Linked DNA regions of Elephas maximus indicus. The protein of the gene in region 1 purifies or fractionates together with the protein of each later gene. This does not show direct contact. Links are inferred from orthologs where the notes say so. Each region holds a gene or a part of one and is shown in the gene's direction. Other genes may lie near its edges.

Evidence for each region. Proteins that work in one complex are often made in the same cells at the same time.
Region 2: the proteins of myeloid cell surface antigen CD33-like (region 1) and PTPN6 purify together in Homo sapiens (co-immunoprecipitation; 4 studies listed by BioGRID and IntAct, with this or other methods). This does not show direct contact. The link is inferred for Elephas maximus indicus from reciprocal best matches to the Homo sapiens genes CD33 and PTPN6.

The regions. Positions count from the first base shown.
Region 1 is NC_064829.1:97,040,404-97,047,873, reverse strand, and holds the start of myeloid cell surface antigen CD33-like, read left to right. Parts: upstream 1-4,467; 5' UTR 4,468-4,723; intron 4,724-4,791; coding exon of another isoform or gene 4,792-4,863; intron 4,864-4,931; coding exon of another isoform or gene 4,932-5,315; intron 5,316-5,528; coding exon of another isoform or gene 5,529-5,807; intron 5,808-6,450; coding exon of another isoform or gene 6,451-6,604; intron 6,605-7,470. Other genes in the region: sialic acid-binding Ig-like lectin 13, read left to right, coding at 4,792-4,863, 4,932-5,315, 5,529-5,807, 6,451-6,604. UniProt on the Homo sapiens protein: Sialic-acid-binding immunoglobulin-like lectin (Siglec) that plays a role in mediating cell-cell interactions and in maintaining immune cells in a resting state.
Region 2 is NC_064822.1:63,740,000-63,747,795, forward strand, and holds the start of PTPN6 (tyrosine-protein phosphatase non-receptor type 6), read left to right. Parts: upstream 1-4,781; 5' UTR 4,782-5,082; coding exon 5,083-5,096; intron 5,097-7,796. Other genes in the region: ATN1 (atrophin-1), read left to right, coding at 179-322, 665-845, 1,029-1,062; C4H12orf57 (protein C10), read left to right, coding at 2,816-2,867, 3,166-3,342, 4,127-4,278. UniProt on the Homo sapiens protein: Tyrosine phosphatase enzyme that plays important roles in controlling immune signaling pathways and fundamental physiological processes such as hematopoiesis.

The DNA.
Region 1 (7,470 bases):
TAGTCTCACCCCTTTGGGAGCAAGGGAGAGTGAAGAAAACTAAAGATACAAGGGAAAGATTGGTCCAAAGGACTAATGGATCACATCTACCACAGCCTCCACCAGACTGAGTCCAATACAACAAGATGGTTCCTGGCTACCACCACTGGCTGCTCTGACAGGGATTGCAACAGAGGGTCACAGACAGAGCTGGAGAAAGATTAGAACAGAATTCTAACTCACAAAAGAAGTCCAGACTTGGTGGCCTGACAGAGACTGGAGAAACCCTGAGAGTACGGCCCCCAGACACCCTTTTGGCTCAGTGATGAAGTCACTCCTAAGGTTCACCCTTCAGCCAAAGATTAGACGGGCCCATAAAAAAAAAAAAGACTAAAGGGGTGCAACAGCCCAGGGGCAAGGACTAGAAGGCAGGAGGGGACAGGAAAGCTGGTAATAGGGAACCCAATATTGAGAAGTAACAGTGTTGACATGTCATGGGGTTGTTAACCAATGCCATAAAACAATACGTGTAGTAACTGTTTAATGAGAAATTAGTTTGTTCTGTAAACCTTCATCTAAAGTACAATAAAATAGAAGAGAGAAAATTTAAAAAAAGGAATAAAAAGGTGAATTGTGTTGGGCAAATCTGCTTCAAAAGACCTCTTCAAAGTGTTAAAAAGCAAAGATAACACCTCGAAGACTAAGTTCGCCTGACCCAAGCCACGGTATTTTCAATCACCTCATGCAAGTGAAAGCTGGAAAATGAATAAGGAAGACCGAAGAATTGATGCCTTTAAATTGTGATGCTGGTGAAGAATACTGAATATACTATGGACTGCCGAAAGGATGAACAAAAATGCCTTGGAAGAAGTTCAGCCAGAATGCTCCTTAGAAGCAAGGGTTGTTAAGACTATGTCTCACATACTTTGGCATGTTAACAGAAGGGATCAGTCCCAGGAGAAAAACAGCATACTTGGTAAAGTAGAGGATCAGTGAAAAAGAGCAAGACCATCAATGAGATGGAGCGACACAATGGCTGCAACACTGGGCTCACTCACAGCAAGAATTGTGAAGGTGGGGTGCAGAACAGGTAGCGTTTCGTTCTGTTGCACGTACGGTCACTATGAGTTGAAACTGACTCAATGGCACCTAATAACAACAACTAACCTGTTGTTGTTATTAGGTGTCATTGAGTCGACCCCTTGTGTTACAGAGTACCCCGGCTCTATAGGGATCTCTTGGCTGTAATCTTGATGAGAGCGCGTGGCCAGGCCTTCTTCAACTGTTCCATTGGGAGTGTTCAAGCCACCAATCTTTTGATTGGTGTATGAGTTGGAATCAGGTTTGTGTTTTTTCGTTTTCTTGGTTTGAGAGCTTAACTATTGTACTACTACAGCTCCTATAGTTGTCACAGGAGTTGTTGTTGTTGTGTGCCATCAAGTCAATTCTGACTCATAGAGACCCTATAAGCAGAGTAGAACTGTGCCATAGGGTTTCCAAGTCTATAATCTTCACAGGAGCTGATATCCAGGTATTTCTTCCATGGAGCTGCAGGTGGGATTGAACCAGACCTTTGCACTTATCAGCTGAGCATTTAACTGTTGTGCCACCAGGGCTCCAAAAGGTTGAAAAATCGGTGTGCACTCTAAGTAACAGTTTCATGATGTACATTCAGATAATCACACATATTATCATGAATTTTAAACATCCAAATTTTCATATTCATTCCATTCCTTTACATGTTGTTGTTGTTGTTGGGTGCTGGCAGGTCGATTCTGACTATAGTGACCTCACAGAACAGAGTAGAACTGCCCCATAAGGACTCCTAGGTTGTAATCTTTAGAGGAGCAGATTGCCAGGTCTTTTCTCCCATGTAGCCACTGCTGCATTTGAACGGCAGTCCTTTCAGTTAGCAGGTGAGCACTTAACCATTGCACAACTAGCCTGTTAATTTCTAATTTCACTTCTTCTGCCTCAAACTCTGGAAACCCCGGTGGCACAGTGGTTAAAAGCTACGGCTGCTAACCAAATATCAGCAGTTCGAATCCACCAGGAGATCCTTGGAAACCCTGTGGGGCAGTTCTACTCTGTCCTTGATTCCTCGAGTCAGGAGTTGTTGCATTACATCCCACTTTAACTAACGCCAACCTGTGTATCAAACTAGTCCAGGGATATCTCAGCTTCCGTTCTCTGGTCAGTTCAGACCCCAGCTGCTTCCACACAGCCCTTTCTCTCACCCGGGTAGGTCAGTGGGTGCCGGCCTCAAGTCAGGGAGTTTCTATGACTCCCTCAGCTCCAGAACAACCGCAAGTTCCTCTGGTTGCCACACTTCCCTTTCCTCCGGCCATCTCAGAGTGACCCCATCTAGGGTTTGTCAAGTGCCCACTGTGGGCCAGACAAGGTCTTCTCTGAGCTTTTTCCTTGGGTGAACACTTTTGATGACCCCCACAAGCACAGACATCATTAGCCCCATTTAACAGCTGAAGAATGTGAGCCGCCGTCTAAGATACAACTCTTGTTCTTTACTCATCAGAGCAAAAGAGAAAGAAGGAAACCAAAGTCTCAGAGAAGAAGCTAGTCAACAGGGCTAACAGCCTACACAAACCATGAAAAACCCACCGCCGTCGAGTTGATTCCGAATTATAGCACCCCTATAGGGCAGAGTAGAACTGCCCCATAGAGCTTCCAAGGAGCTCCTGACAGATTCGAACTGCCAATTTTTTGGTTAGCAGCCGTAGCACTTAACCACTACACCACCAGAGTTTCCAACAGCCTACCCAAGCCACTGCCTTATATACCCTGAGACTAGAAGAACTAGATGGTTCCTGGCTACCTGGACCAACTGCTTCGTTAAGGGCCACACTAGATGGACCCTGCTAGATAGGGAGAAAAAAGTGAAACAGAACTCAATTTCTTAAAAGCCCACCCTTACTCCACCAGTTGAGACTGGGGGACTCCCTGAGACTATCACCCACCCTGAGATATTCTTTGAATCTTGAACTGAAGCCATCTCCTGAGGTCACCTTTGAGCAAAATAACAGGTTGGTACACAAAACTATATTACCCATGAATTCAGTGCTCCCTTAAAAAACCACCTATATGAGACCAAAAGGTCAACGATTACTCCAAAGCAAAGATGAGAAGATAAGGCGGCAGGGAAACTAGAGGACTGGAAATGGAAGAGCCAGAACCCAAAGAGAATGTCGACATGTTGTGAAAAATGTAACTACTGTCACTGAATAATTTGTATAGAAACTGTCAGATGGGAACCTAATTTGCTATGTAAACTTTCACCAATAAAATATAATTTAAAAAAAAATGGCTGAGGACACTGTGCCACAGAGTGTAAGCCCCTCTCTGCCTAAAACAGCACAGTGAACATTAGGGAGTCAGGCTCAAGTTCCAGCAACCTGCCTTCAGAGCCCCCACCCCTGACCTCCTCACTGGTCCACCAGCAAAGCCCACCTCCTGATGAGGAAGTTCCAGCGCAGTGTCTACCACCAAGAGCTTCTCTCTGAGGGCAGGACTTAGAATGGCCACTTGGGACCTGCCCTGGAGACACAACAAGACATCCACATCTTAGTCTGCAGAGAATGCTCACCTCCATCTCTGCACTAGATTGTCCCACAGACTGAGGGACATTCAGTATTACAGTTCCTCTCTGTGACCTGGTGACAGAGTCGATAATCGCTCAGCTGCTAACCAAAAGGTCAGTGGTTCAAACCCACCAGCAGCTCCATGGGAGAAAGGACCCAGAGATCTTCCGTAAAATGGTTACTACCTTGGAAACCCTATGTGGCAGTTCTACTCTGTCACATGGAGTTCCTATGTATTAGAACTGACTCTATGGCAATGGGTTCGTATGTTACCAGTGAGATGCCTGGGTAACGAAGTGGTTTTTGCTTGAGTATTAACGTATTCGTTGGTAGTTCGAACTCACTCAGAGACGCCATGGAAGAAAGGCCCGGCAATCTGCTCTAGTAAAAATTGTTATTGTTGTTCGGTTCTGTTGTGTAAATTCCAACTCATAGCCACCCTATAGGACAGAGTAGAACTGCCCCAAAGGATTTCTTGGCTGTAATCTTTAAAGGAGCAGGTCTCTAGGTGTTTCTCCCTAGGAGTCGATGGATGAATTCAAACCACCAACCTTTCGGTTCGCAGCTGGGGGCTAAATCATTTCACCACCAGGGCTCCATTCCTAGAAAATTCTATGGAGGAGTTGTACTCTGTAACACATGGGTTGCTGTGAGTCAGAATCGACTGGATGACAACAGGTTTGTTTTGTTTTGATTAATGTGACCAGTATTGTGACTCCATGTATGCAGAATAGAACGGTCATAGCCTCCTCTTTGACTCTGTTGCCCAGCAAGTAGTAGAAGATGCTCATGTTGTGGTTGTTGGATTCATTCATTCAGTCAGTCAGTCAGCCAGCCAGTCGGCGGTACCTCCCTCATTCCAGGGACACTTCCCCATCTTGCATGCCACATGGTTCTTCCTCAGGCCCCTCCTGAGTCCCACGCCTGGCAGGACTGGCCCTCCTGAGCATCTACAAGCTGTAACCCACAGAGCCTGGTCAGCCAGCGCCTGCTTTCCTGGAGTGAACAGTGGTGTGTGAGGTGAAGTCCACAGACAGAGAGCCAGGAGCTGGGGGTAGGATCTTCCTCTGCTGTGTGTGACCCCATTGGGACTCCATCTAGAAAGTAGAAGTGGTTTCCCTCCGGGCTCTGACAGCGTGTGGTGTGAGGTTCTAATTCTGCGGTTAGTCACTTTTCTGACCTCGTCCCTGAGCTTCCTGTTGGGGCTCCTTTTCAGTCCTCCTACACCAGGGCCCCGTGCTCCTGACTCCAAAGATGCTGCTGCTGCTGTTGCCCCTGCTGTGGACAGGTGAGTGGCCAAGGGGATGGGGCAGTGGTGCTGGGGCTGGACCTGTGGCTGACTCTTGTTTCCTACAGGGTCCCTTGCTCAAGATAATGAATTCCGATTGCAAATGAACGAGTCAGTGACAGTGCAAGAGGGTCTGTGCATCCTCGTGCCCTGCTCCTTCTTCTACCCCCGGCAGGGCTGGATTGACTCTGACCCAGCTCAAGGCTACTGGTTCCGGAGTGAGTCCAATTACTTCTCCGACGCTCCAGTTGCCACAAACGACGCAGGCAGAAAAGTGCGAGAGGAGACCAAGGGCCGATTCCACCTCGTTGGAGACCCCCGAGATTATAACTGCTCCCTGGACATCAGAGATGCCAGGATGGCAGACAAGGGATCATACTTCTTTAGGATCGTCAGAGGATCTTACGTGTTATATAATTTCAATCATTACCAGCTCTATGTGCACGTGACAGGTAAGGATTGGGGTCAGGGAGAGGCCACAGGGGAGGAGGGTGGTTCCTAGGACAGGGTTGGGGTAGGACCCCCTCCTCCTCATCGTGGGAGGGAATGAGGGGAACAGGATGCTGGGGCTGGCTGGGGATGAGTCAGCCTGACTGAGACAGAAGCTGCTTTAGGGAACGCCTAGGGATTCCAATTCCAGGGCCTTGGTTTCTCTCTCTCCCCAGCCCTGACACAGACACCCAACATCCACATTCAGGGGACCCTCGAATCTGGCCACCCCACAAGTATAACTTGTAAGGTGCCATGGGCCTGTAAGAGGGGGATGCCTCCCACCTTCTTCTGGATTGGGGTCGCTGTCACGTCCCTGGGCTCCAAGACTTCCAACTCCTCAGAGCTCACATTCATCCCAGAGCCACATCACCATGGCACGAACCTCACCTGCCGAGTGACCTTCCCTGGAGCAGGTGTGGCCACGGAGAGTACCATCCAGCTCAATGTGTCCCGTGAGTGCTGGGTAGGGACACCTGGGTCCCTGAGGGCAGTGTGTGTTGAGGGAAGTGGGGCAGAGACTGAGATGCTTGGTTCTGGGTCCTGGAAAAGGGGCTGGTGAGGAAGAGGACACTAGACTCCACCTCCTTCCTATTTCTCAAGCTTCTGTGAGAAAAGGGCCAACACCCATCTTCCTGTCACTGAAAAGAGAACAGTTACAGTCTAGCAATGCATAACATCCATTCGGGCAGCTTTCAACTGAATGTATGTCCGTGGACCCCTAAGGTTATAATATAGTTCAGAAATATGTGTAGTTTACCTTTCTATGCCTAAAAACCATTAGAGAAACACTTCCCAATACACTAAAACATCTTTAACATAATAATACAGTAATAATAATAATAATGTTTTGGTGAGAGTTGCAAAGTAACACCCATTTATTACTATGAACCATTGAATATACATCAAATTTTTAATATGATAGGATTTATGGGGGTTGGTTCATAACTACTGGTTGTACATAAGTCAGATGTTACTAAACCCAGGGACTGCCTGTATGTAATATGGTGTTCACACAGCATCCAAATCATATAACTTCTTTATCACAGAACATACATGGACGTTAAGCAACACATAACTGTATTTCTGTCTGTCCAGATGCTCCACAGAACCTGACCATCAGCATATTCTGGGAGAATAACACAAGTAGGGAGCAACTGCTCCTCTCTGGGGCTGTGATGGATGGGAGGTCTCTGTTCCTCAGAGCAGAGCTGGGGTCTCACAATTCAGGAGGGAGGAGGTCTCAGACCAGGTATGGGGACAGCAGAGGTGGGAAACCCCTCACTCCACTCATCAGCCTGCAACTGGCTTCCCTTCACCCTGACCTTGCTATCACCAAGATTGTCCATGAACTTCTCCTTACTAAGCCTAATGGGTAGCTGTCACCAGTGTCAGGGCTCTGTCCCCATCCCAAACCCTGCCCTCATGCTTCTCCGGATCTGGGCCCTAATTAGCCCCTCAGTTTGGTTTTTGTTTGTGTTGGTTTTTCTTAAAATGTTTTACTGCGGTAAAAATACATATAACAATACATTTGCCAATTGTACAATCCCATGATACTGGTTTTGTTCTTCATGTTGTGCAACTCTCACCACTATCATTTCCAAATAATTCCACCACCATTAACAGGGACTCAGTGCCCCCTAAGCTAAGACTTCCCCTTTTCCCCTCCTTATAATGTGACCACACATTCCTCCTTTCCACCCCAAATTTCCCAGGTCCACTCAACCAGCTCCCATCCCTTTCTGTCTTCTCATCTCGCCTCTGGACAGGGGTTGCCCCCATTTAGTCTCGTGTGTCTTCTTGAACTAAGAAGCACTCTCTTCGCGAATATCATTTTATATCTTATAGTCCAGTCTATTCTCTGCCTGAAGACTTGGCTTCGGGAATGGTTTTAGTTCTGGGTTAACAGAGAGTCTGGGGGCCATGTCTTCTGGGGTTCCTCCAGTCTCAGTCAGACCATTGAGTCTGGTCTTTTCACCAGAATTTGAGGTCTGCACCCCACTTTTCTCCTGCTCTGTCAGGGACCTTCTCTTGTGTTTCCTGTGAGGGCGGTCATTGATGGTAGCCGGGCGCCATCCAGTTCTTCTGGTCTCAGGCTGATGGAGTCTATGGTTCATG
Region 2 (7,796 bases), on another chromosome or scaffold:
CTTCAGTGGGGTCTAGTCCTGTCCACCTTCCGACCCCCCTAGTTCTTTCATTCTGCCTTCTATTCCGTTCTGGATCTCCCTGTTTCACTGCCCATTTCTCTTCCCAGGTTTCCCTTCATCTAAATGTATAGTCTTCCCAAGCCTGCCTTCTGATGACACCTTCTTCTTTGCCCTCTAGCCTCTGCCTCGGTGCATCCTCTCATTGATCCCCTGGCTTCAGGGTCTCACCTTACCCGGATCCCCTACCCAGCTGGGACCCTCCCCAACCCCCTTCTTCCTCATCCTCTGCACGAGAATGAAGTTCTTCGTCACCAGCTCTTTGGTAAGGATAGAGGTTGGGAGCAGGGAGGCTTTTAACGAGGGAAGGGCAGAAAGAAGGAATTTGAGTAGTAGGATCGACCTAGCTGGGCTTTGGGAGGGATGAGGAAGTGCCCAGAGAAGCTGGGAATGGGAGTAGGAGAGCTGAGGCCCTGTCTCAGCAGGCATATGTTTTCATGCTGGGCTACAGAGGTTTGCATCCTGGCTCCTACCACTGACAACTTGCAAGACTAGGTGTGTTACCTAAATTCTTAGTCTCGGTTTCCTCTGTATGTAAAGTGACTGGCTGTCCCCTGGCCCATAGTGGGTGCTCAGTACCTATCAGTCATGTGCTTCTTGCCCACAGCTGCCCCCTACCGGGACCTGCCGGCCTCCCTCTCTGCCCCCATGTCAGCAGCTCACCAGCTGCAGGCCATGCACGCACAGTCTGCTGAGCTGCAGCGCCTGGCACTGGAGCAGCAGCAGTGGCTGCACGCCCATCACCCCCTGCACAGCGTGCCACTGCCCGCTCAGGAGGACTACTACAGGTATGGGGTACCCTGGGCCAGGAGTGGGGAAGTGGATTCTGCCAGCCTGGGATGGGGCTTGGGCATGGGATAGTAGGGCTCTAGGCTCCTGGAAAAAGAACGCCCCACCCGCATCTGTGAGAGGGGCCAGGTCAGGACTGACCTCAGGCTCATCTTGGCTCTGGACATGCCCTCTCCTCCTAGTCACCTGAAGAAGGAAAGCGACAAGCCGCTGTAGAACCTGCAACCAAGAGAGCAGCCATGGCCCCTGCATCTGGACCTTGGAGCCCCCCCCCCCCTCAGCCTGCCACAAAGAACCCAGGAGAGAAAACTGCTCAGTTGCAGGGCCTTGGCAGCTGGGCAGTTGGGAAGAGGAAGGGACAGACAGAAGGCCAAGGCTGGTGTGGGAAGGTGGGGAGGTGGGGAGGGTGGAGCAGAAGCGCACAGTATCTTGGACCAGGTCCCTCTTCCTTGTACCCCAGCTTTCCTCCTTCCTCAAGCCCAGACCTTGGTGGCCATCGCCCCCTCCCCCACCCCGTTGGTGTGATTATTTCATCTGTTAGATGTGGCTGTTTTGCGTAGCATCGTGTGCCGCCCCTGCCACCTCCCCCAAATCCCTGTGTGCGCACCCCCTGCGATGTATGCCCATCCCCCTCTTCCACATTAATAATTTATATATATAAATATCTATATGATGCTCTTTAAAAAACATCCCAACCAAAACCAAACAAACATCCTCACGTCTCCCCCGGAAGATGGCTACGACTCTTTCTTTGCGGGCTGTGGGGTGGGGTGGGGGTCTCTGCGCAGCAATGCCCAGAGAAAAAGCTGTGGAACCTGAGATTGGAGAAATGGGAGGGACAGGACCTGGGGAAGGAACTGGGTGTAGGGAGCCTGCAGAGCTGGAGAGGGGATCTTGGAAGAAGGATGGTTATACTGGGCAGGAGCGCCATGCCCCACCTGGGGTGCTGCCACTGCACGCCTTCCAAGGCTGGGGAAGTTGAGCTGTTAACAGGCCTGCAACAGGCCCGCCTGTGACATGGTCCTGTCTAAGGAACTACCCTTAACCCTTGGGGGTGTTCCTGCCACTGTTCCACAACTAGGGGCCACCAGAGTCCTCTGGAACAAGGGTTTCAGAGCTGGATCCTTTCTGTGGAATAGTTTGAGACAGTTATGAAGTGGATGTGGGCGTAGTTTCAAGTAGGTCAATGTGATTAGAACTCTAATTACCCTTCGGTTTTGAAGGAGTGGGTGACACTTTCAAAGGGCTGGAGGGGAAATAAGGGCGTTACGCTGCAGCGCCCACCCCTGAACAAGGCCATTTTAGGAAAGCACAAGAGATGCGCTTGCTCCCAGCGTTTATTGCTGCGAATCACAGGCTTCGTTCTTAAAAACTAAGGGGGGGGTGTGTGGCTGGCTGCTGTTTCAGCCAATCAACACCGCGCTCATTTGCATAGGCTCGTAACAAATGTTCACAAACTCTAGAAATGAATAATTGAAGTTAGTTCCTTAGAATATTGTTTTTTCTATTGAAAGCTAGTGGGCTCCGCTGCTTAGACATTACTGACTATTCAAAAAACTCCGCAGTCAGCTCACCCTCAGCTATAGTGGAGTCCAAGGATATCCCACGTTCTCTCCAAGACATATTTCTTCAGTGTTACAGCTCTTTTAGAATTTGTCTAGTAGGTCTTCTAGTTTTTCTGGAAGACCCTCCTTATGTGTTATTTTCAACAATAGACTTAGGTTTATTCGGGTGTGTGTGTGGTTTTTGTTAGTCCTGTTGCGTTAAGATATAAAACCCGTTCTGGTTATTTAGTTTTCCTGGAAGATTCGCGAACTGGGCCATTAAAACTACGCGGTAGCGGCTTCCGGCTGCGGCTGATGCTGCTTCCCATCCGCCCCCCACCGGCCTTACGAGCAGCTGTAGGAGGTGGCTTTTTCTTGGGGAGCATTCCCGCGGCTTCGCAGCACGTGCGGTTTTTTAGTTCTATATGGCGTCTGCCTCGGCCCAACCCGCGGCCCTGAGCGCCGAACAGGCCAAGGGTGAGAAGCATCCCTAATCCCCGGGGTGGGCTGTCTGCCGGGGGAGGATACGGCCGAGGATAGGGAGGGCAATGGCTGCAGTCGACCGGTGTGGGGGGTCCCCGCGTACCATTACTGTCCTTCTGTTAACTGGGGTCCTTGCGCCCTGGAGCGAAGGATTCCGGGACCGGATTTATCGGGTTACCAACGGCTTAGTCCCCTAATTCTCTGTCCCTTTCCCTGGGCTCTCGACCGGGCTCGCTGGTGGTGCTCCGACGCCTACCACGGTACACCTTCCTGGGGTGCCTCTGGGGCGCAGTGGTGTTGGCCGAGGTCATCCAGGCGTTCTCGGCCCCGGAGAATGCCGTGCGCATGGACGAAGCTCGGGACAACGCGTGCAACGACATGGGCAAGATGCTGCAATTTGTTCTGCCCGTGGCTACGCAGATCCAGCAGGAGGTCATCAAAGCCTATGGCTTCAGCTGCGACGGGGAAGGTGGGTTGGACGGGCGGCGTCAAGGTGGGTCGGGGAGAGGGCGCTGGATCGGCTGGGCCCCTGAACTGTGGTTCCCCTTGTTGCCACACGGCGGCAGCCACAATCTGACTAACAGCATTGGCACTCAGGGCGCAGGGTCTACCCTGAACTTGTGCCAGGCGAATTCCTACAGGAGCATTTTGTAGTTACCGTTAATCACTCTAATATCCTTCTTAATCACTCTAATATCCTATTTTAAGATGAGAGACAGAGTCCAATAGTAAAGTGGCCAGGGTCACAGCAGAGCTAGATTTGAACCCAGTTCTGCTAGCGTTTTAGTGAGAAGGCTGCATCACGAGAGCTAGCTCTGCAGCGCCTCCAAGGTGTTGAAACGGTAATCTCTGTTTGGGGGTTGGTGGTGAAATTTCCTTGGTGAAGTCACGCTGCGTCGCAGCCCTCCTGTGCCCCGTTGTAGACCTTGGACCTTGGACCTTGGACCTCTTGGGTATTTATACTTTGGATTCTTGTGACTAAACTGCTAAAATGGCTCACCTGAGAGTGAGATGCACACTGCTTCGGATATTTTTCAGTCACTGTATTCCTATCCAGCTGTGCTCAGCGTGGACCAGGAAGTGGTTGATCCAGGCCACACCGGAGAGAGGCCAGCCTGTGTCCTGTTTCGCAGACAGCTACCTGGCCAGTTGGGGAGCAGCCAGTGACTCATATCCCATCCGCATACTCCTCCCACCATCTTGGGTATGCCAGTCACCAGGGTGTGGGGTTGACTCTCCACTCCCCCTTGTAGGTGTCCTTAAGTTTGCCCGCTTGGTGAAGTCCTACGAAGCCCAGGATCCTGAGATTGCCAGCCTCTCAGGCAAGCTGAAGGCTCTGTTCCTGCCGCCGATGACGCTGCCACCCCATGGGCCTGCTCCCGGTGGCAGCGTGGCTGCCTCCTGAGGGGCTTGGCCCTCCCCTGTGCCCTGTGCTGATAAGGGAGTGGAAGACCTTAGCTTCCCAGAGGATAATAAATGTGCCTGTGACTTGGCCTTAGTGTCAGTCTTTTGATACCTTAACAGCCCCCCACCTCCTGTCTCCAGATTCCCTCACCAGTCCAGGCTGCCCCACCTCTCCCTTTCCAGATCTTTCCTATGCTCCCTGCTGGGCCCAGCCCTGCACCAGGCTCCTCACTTCTCCCCACCCAAGGAAGGGTAAGAGGGTGGGCTGGCCCTTCGACACACTGGGTGGGTGGGTAGGTGGGTGGAAGGGCCTGCATGGTGGTGCCTCCTCTAAGGCATTGGGCTTCCAGGGCTTTTACTTAGGCCCCTTGGTACCCACATTGGTCGGTTTTCCCTTAGCCAGGGCTACTTCCTGGTCTTTGCCCCATCTGCCCTCCCACTGCTCTGCCAGGTGGAGCTCTGGGTGGCTCCTCCCCTCAAAGGGAAGGAGGCCCTGGACAGGCTGACAGGCCTGCTGGACGACTGGGACTGGACCACTGAGCGGGACTAGAGGGGGAAGTGGGAAGTGGGCTGCTGTGGGCTGCCTGAGGCTAACCCCGCCCCACCTGTCCCTGCTCCAGGATCTTTAAGTCCAGGGGCTTGTCCCTGCGGTGCCATTGGCCTGGCAACCTGGTTTGAGGAGGAGGTAGCTGAGTTCTGAGTATTCTTCCTCACCTGGCCTGGGTCACTGTGCTCTGCTGTGGCCCTGGCTTGGCCCCACCCCCTGCGGCTCTCTGCCTGTTACTCCCCCAAACTTTCCTGGGAGATGCTGTCCCGTGGGTAAGTCCCCTGCCCCACCTGGGTCCCACAGGCTCCTGTTAGTTTGGGAGGGAGGGTTTCATGCTCATTCCTGACAGGCTATGTGACCATGAGCCTGACTGGGTCAGCTTCCTGTTCCTACATACCCTTCATCTCCCCAAGGTGCACGGACCCGCATGCTCATTCATGCTCCTCTGCCCCCTGCCTTTTTTATTATACTTTATGCCTGACAGAGGTATGGTCTATTCTCACTGTCTCACATTTCCACCTCTAGCCTCTGGTCCCCTGCTTCTGCCTCCTGCTTAGGATCTACCGCCCCTAGGTAACCCACATCACCTCAAGCATGACATTTCTGAAAGGCAAACCTGAGAAAGCTCTCCCCCGTCCACTCAGCTCCCCCCCTGCGCTTCCTAGTCTCTAGGTTTGGTTCCCTTAACTGCCCCCTCATCATTCATTCAACAAATAAATATTGAGCATCTGTTATGAGCTCAGGCTGCTAACCAAAAGTTTGGCAGTTCAAATCCACCAGCTGCTCCTTGGAAGCCCTATAGGGTGGCTATGAGTGAGATTATGTGCTAGGTACTGTTTAAGGTGCTGGGAATACTGCAGTAAATAAGGCAAAAACAGTCCCTGCTCTCATGGAGCTTACATTTTAGTGTGAAGTTGCAGACCAACCAACCCAATAAATAGAATCATTTCAGATATTCATAAATGTTATGCAGAAAATGAAACAGCTTCATATGAGAGTAAGTGCCAGGGGGGCCAGGGGCATTACTAGCTGGAATAATCAGGGAGGGCTTTTCTAAGGAGGTGGCATTTGAGCTGAGGCCTGGATGGTAAGGAAGATCCAGCCATGTGGTGATCAAGGGTCTAATATTCCTGACAGAGGGCATGGCAAGCACAAAGGGCCTGAAGAGGGAAAAAACAAGCAAAAAAAGGGCAGTATGCCTGAAGCAGAGTCAGCTAGTGGGAAGGGAGGCAGGGCCAGGGCAGGTTAGGCCTTGTTGAAGCATGGTTATTTTAAGTGAAAACCTGTTTAGAGAGTGTTGGTGAGTTTGTGGGTTGGTTGGCCCTCAAGTCCTGCTGATTGTTGCTTCCCACACTCACACATCTGCCCCTTCCTTTCTCTATGCTGCCTCCCCCAGTGCACGCCCTTGTCACAGTCAGCTCCACTGACTGGGTTCTTACTGAGTCTTCTGGCCCTTGATCCCTTCCATACCCCGCCACGTCATTTCCCTAAAGTGGCTTGGCAAGGCCTCCACCTGTGCAGAATCCTTCCTTGGTTCCTCAGCCTGGCCTTGTAAAACCCTCCGTAACTGGGTCCAGACTCTCAGAACAGCTTTGCTCTGGCCGCCCTGCTCCACTCACACCCCAGCCCTGCTCCTCAAGTGGGTCCTATGCAGGCCACCTCTGTGGCTTCGCAGATGCTGCCCCTGGTGCAGTGCCTGCTCACCTCTCCTCCATAATGGCTGTTCGGTGCCCACCCCACCTGCCCGCTGAAGCCTTCTGCAGCAGCATGGTTGGTGTGGTAGAAGGGGCAAGGCTCTGGTTTGTCTGCCTTCCTACTCAGTAGCTTGTGACCTTGGGCAAGTTCCTTAACCTTCCTCTCAGTTTTTGTTTCTAAAAATAGACTAATAATGCTAAGTAGAGTTGGGAGGCCAGCGGTGGTTCAGTGGTAGAATTCTATCCTTCCATGAGGGAGACCCAGATTCGATTCCAGGCCCACGCGTCTCATGCACAGCCAGCGCCCATCTGTCAGTGGAGGCTTGCGTGTTGCTGGGATGCTCAGCAGGTTTCCACGGAGCTTCCAGACGAAGATGTTCTAGGAAGAAAGGCCTGGTGACCTACTTCGGAAAATCAGCCAGTGAGAACCCTGCGGATCACGATGGTCTGAATGGCTGTGCGTGGGGTTGCCATGAGTTGGGGACCAACTTGGCAGCAGCTGGCAACAACAACAACAACAAAATAGGGTTGGCATGAGGATTAATGATATAATGTAAAATCTGTTGGCACTAAAACCCTACTACATATCAGCTCTTTAAGTATTTGGGAAATGCTGTTAAGCCCATCTTCGAGGTGGGGATACAGAGGCTCGGAGAAGTTAACTAACTTTCTAGAGGCTATTTCACCTTGTTTGCTCTTCCAGACTGCCTGTCTTCCTGATCTCTATCTTTATCTCCCTACTTCCCAAAGGGGTAATTTTCTCTTCTGAATTACCACGCACTTAAATTTTTTTTTTTTTTTTTTTGCTTTTCTAACTCTCAGTCTCCCTGAGCCTGTACCCTCGTTTTAAAAAGTGGGGAAAATAATTCCTACATCACAGGGCTGTCTGAGGCCCAAAGGAGAATGTGTGTGTGCTCTGCAATTCTAGAACACTATGCCAAGGTCGTTATTATTTTTTATTTTCCTGCCAAGGGGCAGCAGGGACCATACATCTTGTTTGAGTCTGTCTTTTGGCTTGGGACCCTTCAGAGAAATTCCTGCCTCTTGGATGGGTCAGGAGTTTTGGGGTGCCTCAACCTTGGTGGGTTTCCTTCCCACCAAGTGGGTTTAAGCCCCAGAAGGAGAGTGGTTTATGGCCAGGGTGCAGCGGGTGTTTGGTTCTGAACATGGACCTGGAACTTCGTGTGTAGTGAGGACTGTGTGTCCGTGTGTGGGTATTCGCGCCAGATCAGGTGTGTGTGTGTGGATAGACACGGACAATAAGATGCACGTAGTGGG